Linked DNA regions of Canis lupus familiaris. The protein of the gene in region 2 interacts with the protein of the main gene of each other region in a pairwise test. Links are inferred from orthologs where the notes say so. Each region holds a gene or a part of one and is shown on either strand. Other genes may lie near its edges.

Evidence for each region.
Region 1: the proteins of KLHL2 (region 2) and TMA16 interact in binary tests that used the Homo sapiens proteins (3 or more experiments, as listed by UniProt). The two-hybrid records come from large-scale screens. The link is inferred for Canis lupus familiaris from reciprocal best matches to the Homo sapiens genes KLHL2 and TMA16.

Annotation. Positions count from the first base shown.
Region 1 is NC_049236.1:60,193,225-60,197,693, forward strand, and holds part of TMA16 (translation machinery-associated protein 16), read left to right. Parts: intron 1-1,342; coding exon 1,343-1,380; intron 1,381-2,667; coding exon 2,668-2,752; intron 2,753-3,895; coding exon 3,896-4,044; intron 4,045-4,469. UniProt on the Homo sapiens protein: Involved in the biogenesis of the 60S ribosomal subunit in the nucleus.
Region 2 is NC_049236.1:61,745,205-61,749,673, reverse strand, and holds part of KLHL2 (kelch-like protein 2), read right to left. Parts: intron 3,435-4,469; coding exon 3,325-3,434; intron 2,665-3,324; exon of another isoform or gene 1,455-2,664; intron 1-1,454. UniProt on the Homo sapiens protein: Substrate-specific adapter of a BCR (BTB-CUL3-RBX1) E3 ubiquitin ligase complex that mediates the ubiquitination of target proteins, such as NPTXR, WNK1, WNK3 and WNK4, leading most often to their proteasomal degradation.

The sequences.
Region 1 (4,469 bases), about 1.6 Mb from region 2:
GCCCACAGAGCCTAACATGTTACTCTCCAGTCATTTAAGAAAAAATTTGCCAGCTTCTGCTCTTATGAATAATGCTGCCATGAACATTCATGTACAATGTTTGGACATATGTTTTCATTTTTCTTTCTCTAGAACTAGAATTGCTGGGTCATATGGTGATTGTATGTTAAAGTGTGTAAGAAAATTGAGTTTATATGAAATTAAGTTTATAAGACTTGTTGGTTGTATGATAGGTGTCACATTTTAGTATTTAAGAAATTGCTTTATCCAAAGTGATAGTATCATTTTATATTTTCACCATCAATGTATTAGGGCTACATTCTCTCCATATCAATACACTCAAACCTGCAGTATTATCAGTTTTTTGAAAAACTTTGTAGCCATCCTGATAGTTGTATAATAGTATCCTAGTTTGATTTAATTTTGTACATCCTGACCAGTGATGTTTAAATATCTTTTTATGTGCCTTTGGTCATTTCCATGTCTTTGATATGAAAAACCAGTTAAAGTCTTTTGCCCTTTTTGGTATTAGGTTGTCTTATTAAGTAAGTAGTAAGAAGTATTTGCATATTCTGAATGCAAGTCCTTTTGTTAGTTATTTGTGTTGTGAACATCTTCTCCCATTCTGTGCCTGAAACTTTTTGCTTAAAGAAAGCTTCATTTTATTTCTCCCAGTTTTCTAGTTGTTTAAAGTGGGAGGGTAAATCTGGTCTGCTTTGTTAGGCAGGGACAGTAACTTTTTTGTTCTTTGCTGTATCTCTAGTGAGTAGCATAAAGTGTGGCAAAAACTAACTATCCAAAGGTCTCCTGAAGGAATTAATGTTTAGAATACCAACAATAGGAATCATGTATTTCCTAGATTGTTTTCTGAGAATAAATCAGTTTTTTTCTTATTAAAATTCTTTTCAAATTATGAAAAGTAAACATTCTATTTTTGTTCTTGTTGAAGTTTAAAAGGTGACACTAAGGCCTTTTGGTCTTGGTGGCCACACTTCATCTTCTAGAAGGTATTCATTACTCTTGTGCATAAGTATTATCCACCTGAACATTCATAATCCAGTCAAGTTTTTTTTGTTGGTGTTCAAAACTGATTTGTTCTATAGGTGTCCTTTAGTCATTAGTCACTGAAGAGCTAAAGGAAAGTTTCTAGAAACATTTTGTTCCAGCGATTTAAAAGAAAAGCATGGTGTTCAGTGTTTCTGCACTAACAAATTATTTTCATTTGTATAAAAGAATGATCCTTGACTTAAGATTCTGTGGGCAGTTTTTGTTTGTTTTTGACAGATTTTTAAAAAATTTGTTATGGAAATTTTCTAATACCTTATGTACTCTTTCTTCCAAGATTGAAAAATGAAAAGGCATTGCGTCTCAATCTTATTGGTAAGTAAATTTACTCATTGATACTCTGGCTAAACTGTAGTGAAATTCTGCTCTGTACCTATTTTTCTTTTGATTCTTCTAGGGACTTTTCTTTACTGGACTTAATTAAAACAAAGTAAAAGCAATTGTTAACTCTTAAAAAGTGTTAATATCTAGCTCAGTTTTTCAGAAACTATTTTTTATTTATCTATCAGCTTGCCTACCTACATCTATCCATCTGTCTGTCTACCTACTATTCCTTCTCTTGAAGTTTAATTCTAGCTCCCTAACCATTAGAATTAGGAAGGATTGTGGCCTAAGTATTTTAGAAACAGCAGTTTATATTTAGTGATGTGGATATGTGCATCCTCTGTCTGTATCTCAGTGTCACCATCTTTTTTTTTTGGCTAGATTTATTATTAGTAAATTTTTACTTAGAAGCCTGACTTTAAAATAGTGATACTTAGGGGCACCTGGGTTGCTCAGTCGGTTAAACATCTGCCTTGGCTCAGGTTATGATCTCAGGGTTCTGGGATTGAGCCCCATGTCTGGCTCTCTGGTCTACGGGTATCTGCTTCTTCCTCTCCCTCTCTGCAGTCTCTCTCCACTCTCTCAAATAAATAAATTTTTTTAAAAAATAGTGACTTAGGCTTTGTTCGTTTTTTGTTTGAATACTGATCTTCAATGCTTTCTCAGGTAATAGAATAGTATTTCTAAGTAGGTCATCCGTATCTCAGGTATGGCCGTAACTGAAAGTGACCCTGATGGTCACATTTACTCTTTGCACGGTATCTGACAGATCTTGTATGGTTAATATATTTACTAATTTGAGTACCCGGACAGGCTACTTAACCTTTCACATGTGTGAATAGGGATAATAATCCTCAAAGGATGGTAAAACTCTTGATATAGCGCCTGCTGCTTATTAAATGTTCATTAGTGTTATCCTCACCACTAATCTAATTTTCATTTTTATTATTTTAGACAAGTGTTCTATCTTTTGCTTTTTAAATACTTAGAACTTCGTGTTCTGTTAACATATTCTTTTTTTTATTCATGCATCCTTATTGGATAATATATATCAAAAAGCATCTCACCCACCCCTGTCTCTTCCCCGGATTAAAATGTGACAATTTGATTTCTGACAGACTGGTTTAATTAGCTTTGAGCCCACATAAGCCTTTATATTTAACATTGAAATAAATTTTGATACTATTTTAAACACACTGATGTTGAAAATTATAATGAATGCTCATTGCTTAGGTGCTGATTTATGATGTTAATCTATTTTGATACTTGTTGTTACAGGTGAAAAACTGCAGTGGTTTCAAAGTCATCTTGATCCCAAAAAAGTAGGATATTCAAAGAAAGATGCTTGTGAATTAATTGAAAGGTAAACACTGGGCATGTTATGAGCAAAAGGCTCAGAAAAGGGGAATTCTCCAGTTTGGTTCTTTAAGAGACTGAGTTCTGTCCTGGATTTAATAGAGGATTAAATGGGCTTTGTTATCATGAAAGCTTTAGACTCACACCCTGGTGTAGCTACTCCACTAGGCTTATAACTTTTCCCAGCCTCTGAGTGTTTACTTAACCTGGTTTCTTGGGATCGGGAAAGGCTTCCTAATTAGCAGATTGAGGTGGGTTAGTTCAAGAGCCTTTAGGCTGAGAGAACAGTATCAGATATAAGAGTGACATATTTAGTGATCTGCTGGCCATTTAATATAACCAAAATAACAGGCTCAAGGAGGGCATTGTGACAGTGACAGGTGCAGCTCATGAAAGACCTCAAGGATCATTGTAGGAGTTTGGACCTTATCAAAGGACATTGGGAGCCATAAGAAGCTTTTTACAGTAGGTACCTGAGATGATCATATTTAAACTTTAGAAATGTTATAGTAGTGAGAATGAGGATGGTGGCCTGAGGGGACATGGCTTTGGGCAGGACATTGTTGAAAAGCTGATGAAACAATCTAGGCAAGAGAGCATGCTGGCCTCTCCATGGTTAGTAGCAGTATGGTGAAGAGAAGTGAAGATTCCAGAAATATTAAGAAGGTAGAAAGTCACAATCCTTAGTGAAAACTTAGGATGTGACATAAAAGGGAAAAAATGGAGTCAAGGAGGACACCTATGTTGTTCATCTGGGCAGGTGGGTGGATGGTTGTGCTATTTTCTGAAGTAGAGAGCCAAAAAAAAGATGGGACAGTTTTGGTGGGGGTTGGGTGGGGATAGAGGTGGGCACAAGTTCACTTTTGATATGTTAAGCTTCTATGGGACATCCAAATGGAGATGTTCAGGAGGTGGTTGAGTGTGAGGGTCTGGAGTTTAGCAGATACTTGAATAGCAAGCAGTGATTTGGATGTTGAAATTTTGGGCATGCTTGGACTATTCAGGGAGGGTCTGAAGTCTGAGGATACAAGGAACTCAGGAGAATATAAAAATTTCAAGGATGGGCGAAGGCTGGGGTTTGTTTTAAATGATGTACTGTAAGCCAAATGGTGGGTAGACTTGTAACTCAAATTGCTTTCTTATTTCTCAGGTATTTAAATCGATTCAGCAGTGAACTAGAGCAGATTGAATTACATAACAGCATCAAAGACAGGCAGGGAAGGCGGCACTATTCCCGGGAGACAGTCATCAAACAGACAATGGAGCGTGAGCGACAACAGTATGAAGGATATGGCCTTGGTGTGTTCTCATTTTCTTTTTTTCTTTCTAAAATACACAGTCATATCAGATTTGTAATGTATTTCAAGGTTTTGATTTTATTTATTGTATTTATTTAGTTTGAATTTCTTTCTTTGATTTCTTTTGTGAGTCTATTGAATAATTTTTTATTTTTATTTTCTTCTTAAATTCTCAAAACTGTCACTTGTGATAGTGATGATAGTGATATCATATCTTTCTACCCTGACAGTAAAGTTTTCCTCTCCTTCCAGCACATTTCTAATTTGCTTTATTACTTGCCTATCTCTAGCTGCATCTCTGTTTCTTTAGAGCAGGTGCTGTGCCCTTTTTATCTTTCTAATTCCTGTAGGACCAAGCTATAGTAGCTGCAGTCATTCTTGGAAAAACTTCAGAAATTGAACATTCATTCTTAGCATTGTAGCATC
Region 2 (4,469 bases):
ATCTAATTCACTGTTGATAACCTTCCTAAGGTGGTTCTGCTTACCAAGATTTAAATCTCAAGTCTCTTTGGAATAAAGGGCCCAAAATAATAAAGCAAAGTGATACTGTTGAATGAATATCACATACCCTCATAAACAACTATTTTAGGCTTTTTCTTTAGGTTTAAAAAGAAATGTTAGCCATACACTTCTAAGTTAAGTGTCTGCAGAAAAAATTAGTTAATTACTTAATTGTCTGCAGAATAGATGAACTCTCTTTTCTCACAATGAAATATATTAAATCTACTATTTTTGAATAGTAGATTAAAAACAAAATAAAATAAAAACAAAATAAAATAAAAACAAAAAAAATAAGGGCATTACAACTTAACAACATACACCTATGAAAACGTTAATGAGCTAATATGAAGACAGTACGTGACTATATAATTTCCTTCCAGACTGATGAATACATAATCCAGTAATTTTTAAAGGCTTGTGGAAAGTGCCTGATAATAGGTAGTTGGATTATTAGGAACAAAAAAATATTTCTGTTGATGCTGGGATAGAGCATGAAAGTAAAAAAATCTACATTATAATTAACATGCCTCTTTAATTCATTCAGTCACCAAGTATCTACAAAGTACCTGTATGTGTTGGGTGCTAGAAATAGAGAGGATCCTGTCAATTTTGTCTACTATTTCTCAGCTCTACTCTCTCTTCTCCACCTGTCTCCACCATCCTAGGTCAGACCCTACTGCTCACTGGTATGACCTCAACATCCTCCTATCTGACCCTTGCCCCACTTTGGGTTCAGTCAGCACACTACTGACGGCTGGTCTCCAAAATGGTCCCTTAATAAACCACATCTCTGAGTATCCACACCTTATGCAGTGAACCTGCCACAGGGACTCTAAGTTGGCCCTGTGTCACCAAAAAAATAAAATATAAAATAAATAAATAAAATAAAATAAAATAAAATAAAATAAATAATAAAATAAAATAAAATAAAATAAAATAAAATAAAATAAAATAAAATAAAATAAAAAAATAAAAAATTTAAAAAATGCAGCAGAAGTGCTGCGTGACTTCCTAAGCTTGGTCGATAAGAAGCGTTTCAGTTTTCATTCGGGTCTCTTACAATGCTCATCTGGGGGAAGACAGATGTCACGCAAGAAGTCTGATTACTTGAGATCACCATGCTATGAGGAGCCCAAACTAGCCCCAAAGAGGGAAGGGCAGGGAAGGGGAGAGGGTTAGAGGACAGAAGTGGAAAGAGATACCAACCAAACTGCAGTCCAGGAGCTGGACAAGTGAATGAAGGGAGCCAATGTGGATTTTCTGGACCCACAAGACACCATGTGCAGACCGACTGAAGTTCCAGTATGGCTAATCTGGACATTCACGGCAACCCAGCTGAAGCCCAGACGCTACAGAGCAGAGATAAGCTGTCCCAATGTGTTGGTCATCTCTAGACATTGCTGGTCTCTCTGGACATTCAAGCCAAGCCAGCTGAAGCCCAGACACTACAGAGCAGAGACAGGCTGTCCCAACGTGCCCTGAGTGAATTCTGCCCACAGAATGGTGAGTATAATAAAGCGGCTATTGTTTTGTGTCACTACATACACTTTGGGGTGTCTTGTTGTGCAGCAGTAGGAAATCCGGACAGCTTTCATGCCACTTCTATTATGTGGGTATTACCACAGCATTCTCCTACCACTTAAAACCCTTTAAAGAATCTTCTTCATCACGAGGATGAAGTCAAGGTTCTTTAAGACAGCTGAGAAGACATTTTATGCCATCTTCCCATCTATCTCCTACCGCTCTGTCAAACATATATATCCTAGACTCTAAACATATTGAACCAACTTAATGCAATGATTCCTTTCACACCCTTTTTACATTCACATACTCTACCCCTACCTGGCATGCCCTTCCCACGCCCACTCATCCTGACTTCCCGGGCAAACTCATATACTTTTTTAGAACTTGAGCCAGGCTAACAGCATCCCCATCCCAGGAATGATGAAATGTTCCTACGATACCCTCTACAGCATTCCGTAATTATTTATTCATCCCAATGGTTGTCCCTTTAACCTATGGAGTAAAGATTTCTATTTTGTTAACATTTCCGTAGCTGTGACTCTGTGACAGCGTCTGGTCCACATTAGGCACTCAATACGTGTCTGTTAAATATGAATAGCAAAGCAATGTCTTTTCCTCCTCTCTATATTTCTCAAGCACTAGATGACATATCTAACAACCACTCTTCACATCTTTTTTTTCATATGGTAAATATAATAGTAAATGTGTCTTTTTATGCCCAGGCAGGATGGATAACTTTGAGGAATAAAGCTACAGGTCATACAACCTTAAATGCAAAGCACACAAAGAAAAAAACAGTTTCACTTTCTCCAAATTCAGTGTGTTCACAAGCTTGTGTGCCCCAATTCCTGAATATAACACCCACCCAAAGAATAAAAGTCACTAACAGAAGATTCTTTCTCCACCAATATGAAAGGTACAGGTGGGGTGTCTGAGTGGCCCAGTTGGTTAAGCAGCCAACTCCTCATTCTGGCTCAGGTCCCGATTGTGGTGTCCTGGGATGGAGGCCCGGCTCGCATCGGGCTCCCTGCTCAGCTGGGAGTCTGCTTTCCCCTCTTCCTCTGCCCCTCCCCCACTGCTGTACACTCTCTCAAATAAATAAAATCTTTAAAAAAAAAAAAAAAAAAGGAATGCTCAGTCTAGAACAAGCTATTACTTTGTTATCCCTGATAATTTCTTCCCACTCACATAATGGTGAAACTACTCTGGTTTGAGAAATATGGCATTTAGGTCATAATTTTTAGAGGCATCTAACTGTGGGAAGCAACCCAGCACCCAAAAGGACTTGGCTCAGTTTAAGGTGTGCTGGTTCTTGGTGTGGGGGTTGAGTGCAAGACTCTAACATCTAGCAATTCAGGGCATTTCCTGTGGCCTGAAGAAACTAATCTGCACAATCAACAAGTCAACTAGTTGAGTCTGTAATAACTTCCAGATCAAAGATCACTGGCTGTTGCTACACATAGAGGGTTACAAAGTTACAAAACAAAGTGAAATAAAGAAGGGAAAAGTAGGGATGCCTGGGTGGCCCAGTGGGTTGAGCCTCTGGCTTCGGTTCAGGGTGTGATCCCAGGGTCCTGGGATCGAGTTCTGCATCGGGCTCCCCACAGGGAGCCTGCTTCTCCCTCTGCCTGTGTCTCTGCCTCTCTGTGTCTCTCATGAATAAATAAATAAAATCTTAAAAAAAAAAAAAAAAAGGAAAAGTACTCCGTCACTATATACCAGAAAGAAAAACATACTTACCTTCTCTTCTGAGGAAATGGTAAGTTTGTCACTTGAGATTAAGCTGCACACTTGTTCGATGCCGAGATTGAGAAATTCCTCACTAAGTACAACATCTGCAAAATGCTGCTCTGTTGGGAGGTTAAAAATAAAATCCATTAACACCGACATTGTGTTATCCAGCTTCAAACTGCTTCAAAAGGAGGAGGTTTTTCTTAATCTAACCTAAGACTGAGGAAAAACAACTGTATTTCCTCCAGGCAAGAACCAACAAAACCCAAACCAGCTACTCAGGGGAAGTGGTCTCTACTTCAATAAGAAAGTACAGGCACAGGTAGGAGAGCCGGGTATCCTACAGCTGCCCGCCTCTGTATCACATGGTGGGGCTTCTGAGTTAACATTGTATTCCTTATGTGGTAATAAGATTTTCAGTATTGAAATACGTAAAACCTATTGATGACATAAATCAAGTACATGGTGTACATTTTACACCCCTGAATGTAAAATACTTCCAAACCTAATGGAATAAGGAGGGAAACCTGCTTTATTTGAAAACTTTATTTTTTTTAATTTTTTTTAAATTTATTTATGATAGTCACAGAGAGAGAGAGAGAGAGAGAGAGAGAGGCAGAGACACAGGCAGAGGGAGAAGCAGGCTCCATGCAGGGAGCCCAACGTGGGATTCGATCCCGGGTCTCCAGGATCGCGCCCTGGGCCAAAGGCGGGCGCTAAACCGCTGCGCCACCCAGGGTTCCCTATTTGAAAACTTTAAACAAAGAAATGCTAAATGCTGCTCAGTCTGAACATATGACCATTATTTTAAAAGAACAAAGTTGATTTATAATATAGATAGCTCTCAATTCTCTGGCAGTTTACCCGGGGACCAAATCATACCATTTTACACCCTCAACTCCTTTCCAGAAACTGGTAAAACCAGTAATTCTTAAAATACTACAGAAAGCCTTTTTTTGATCTCACACATATACCCACAACTCCAAACGGGGGTTGGGAGGGGAACTATTCAAATAATCAATGACTTTACAACTTTAAAAATGAATCATTTACAAAGTAACCTTTCCTGCAAATCCAGCAGCCACTTATAAAGTGTGAGTTCACAGGGAAATGTGTTCAGGCTTTGGAGTCAGACGCACAAGAGTCAAATCCCA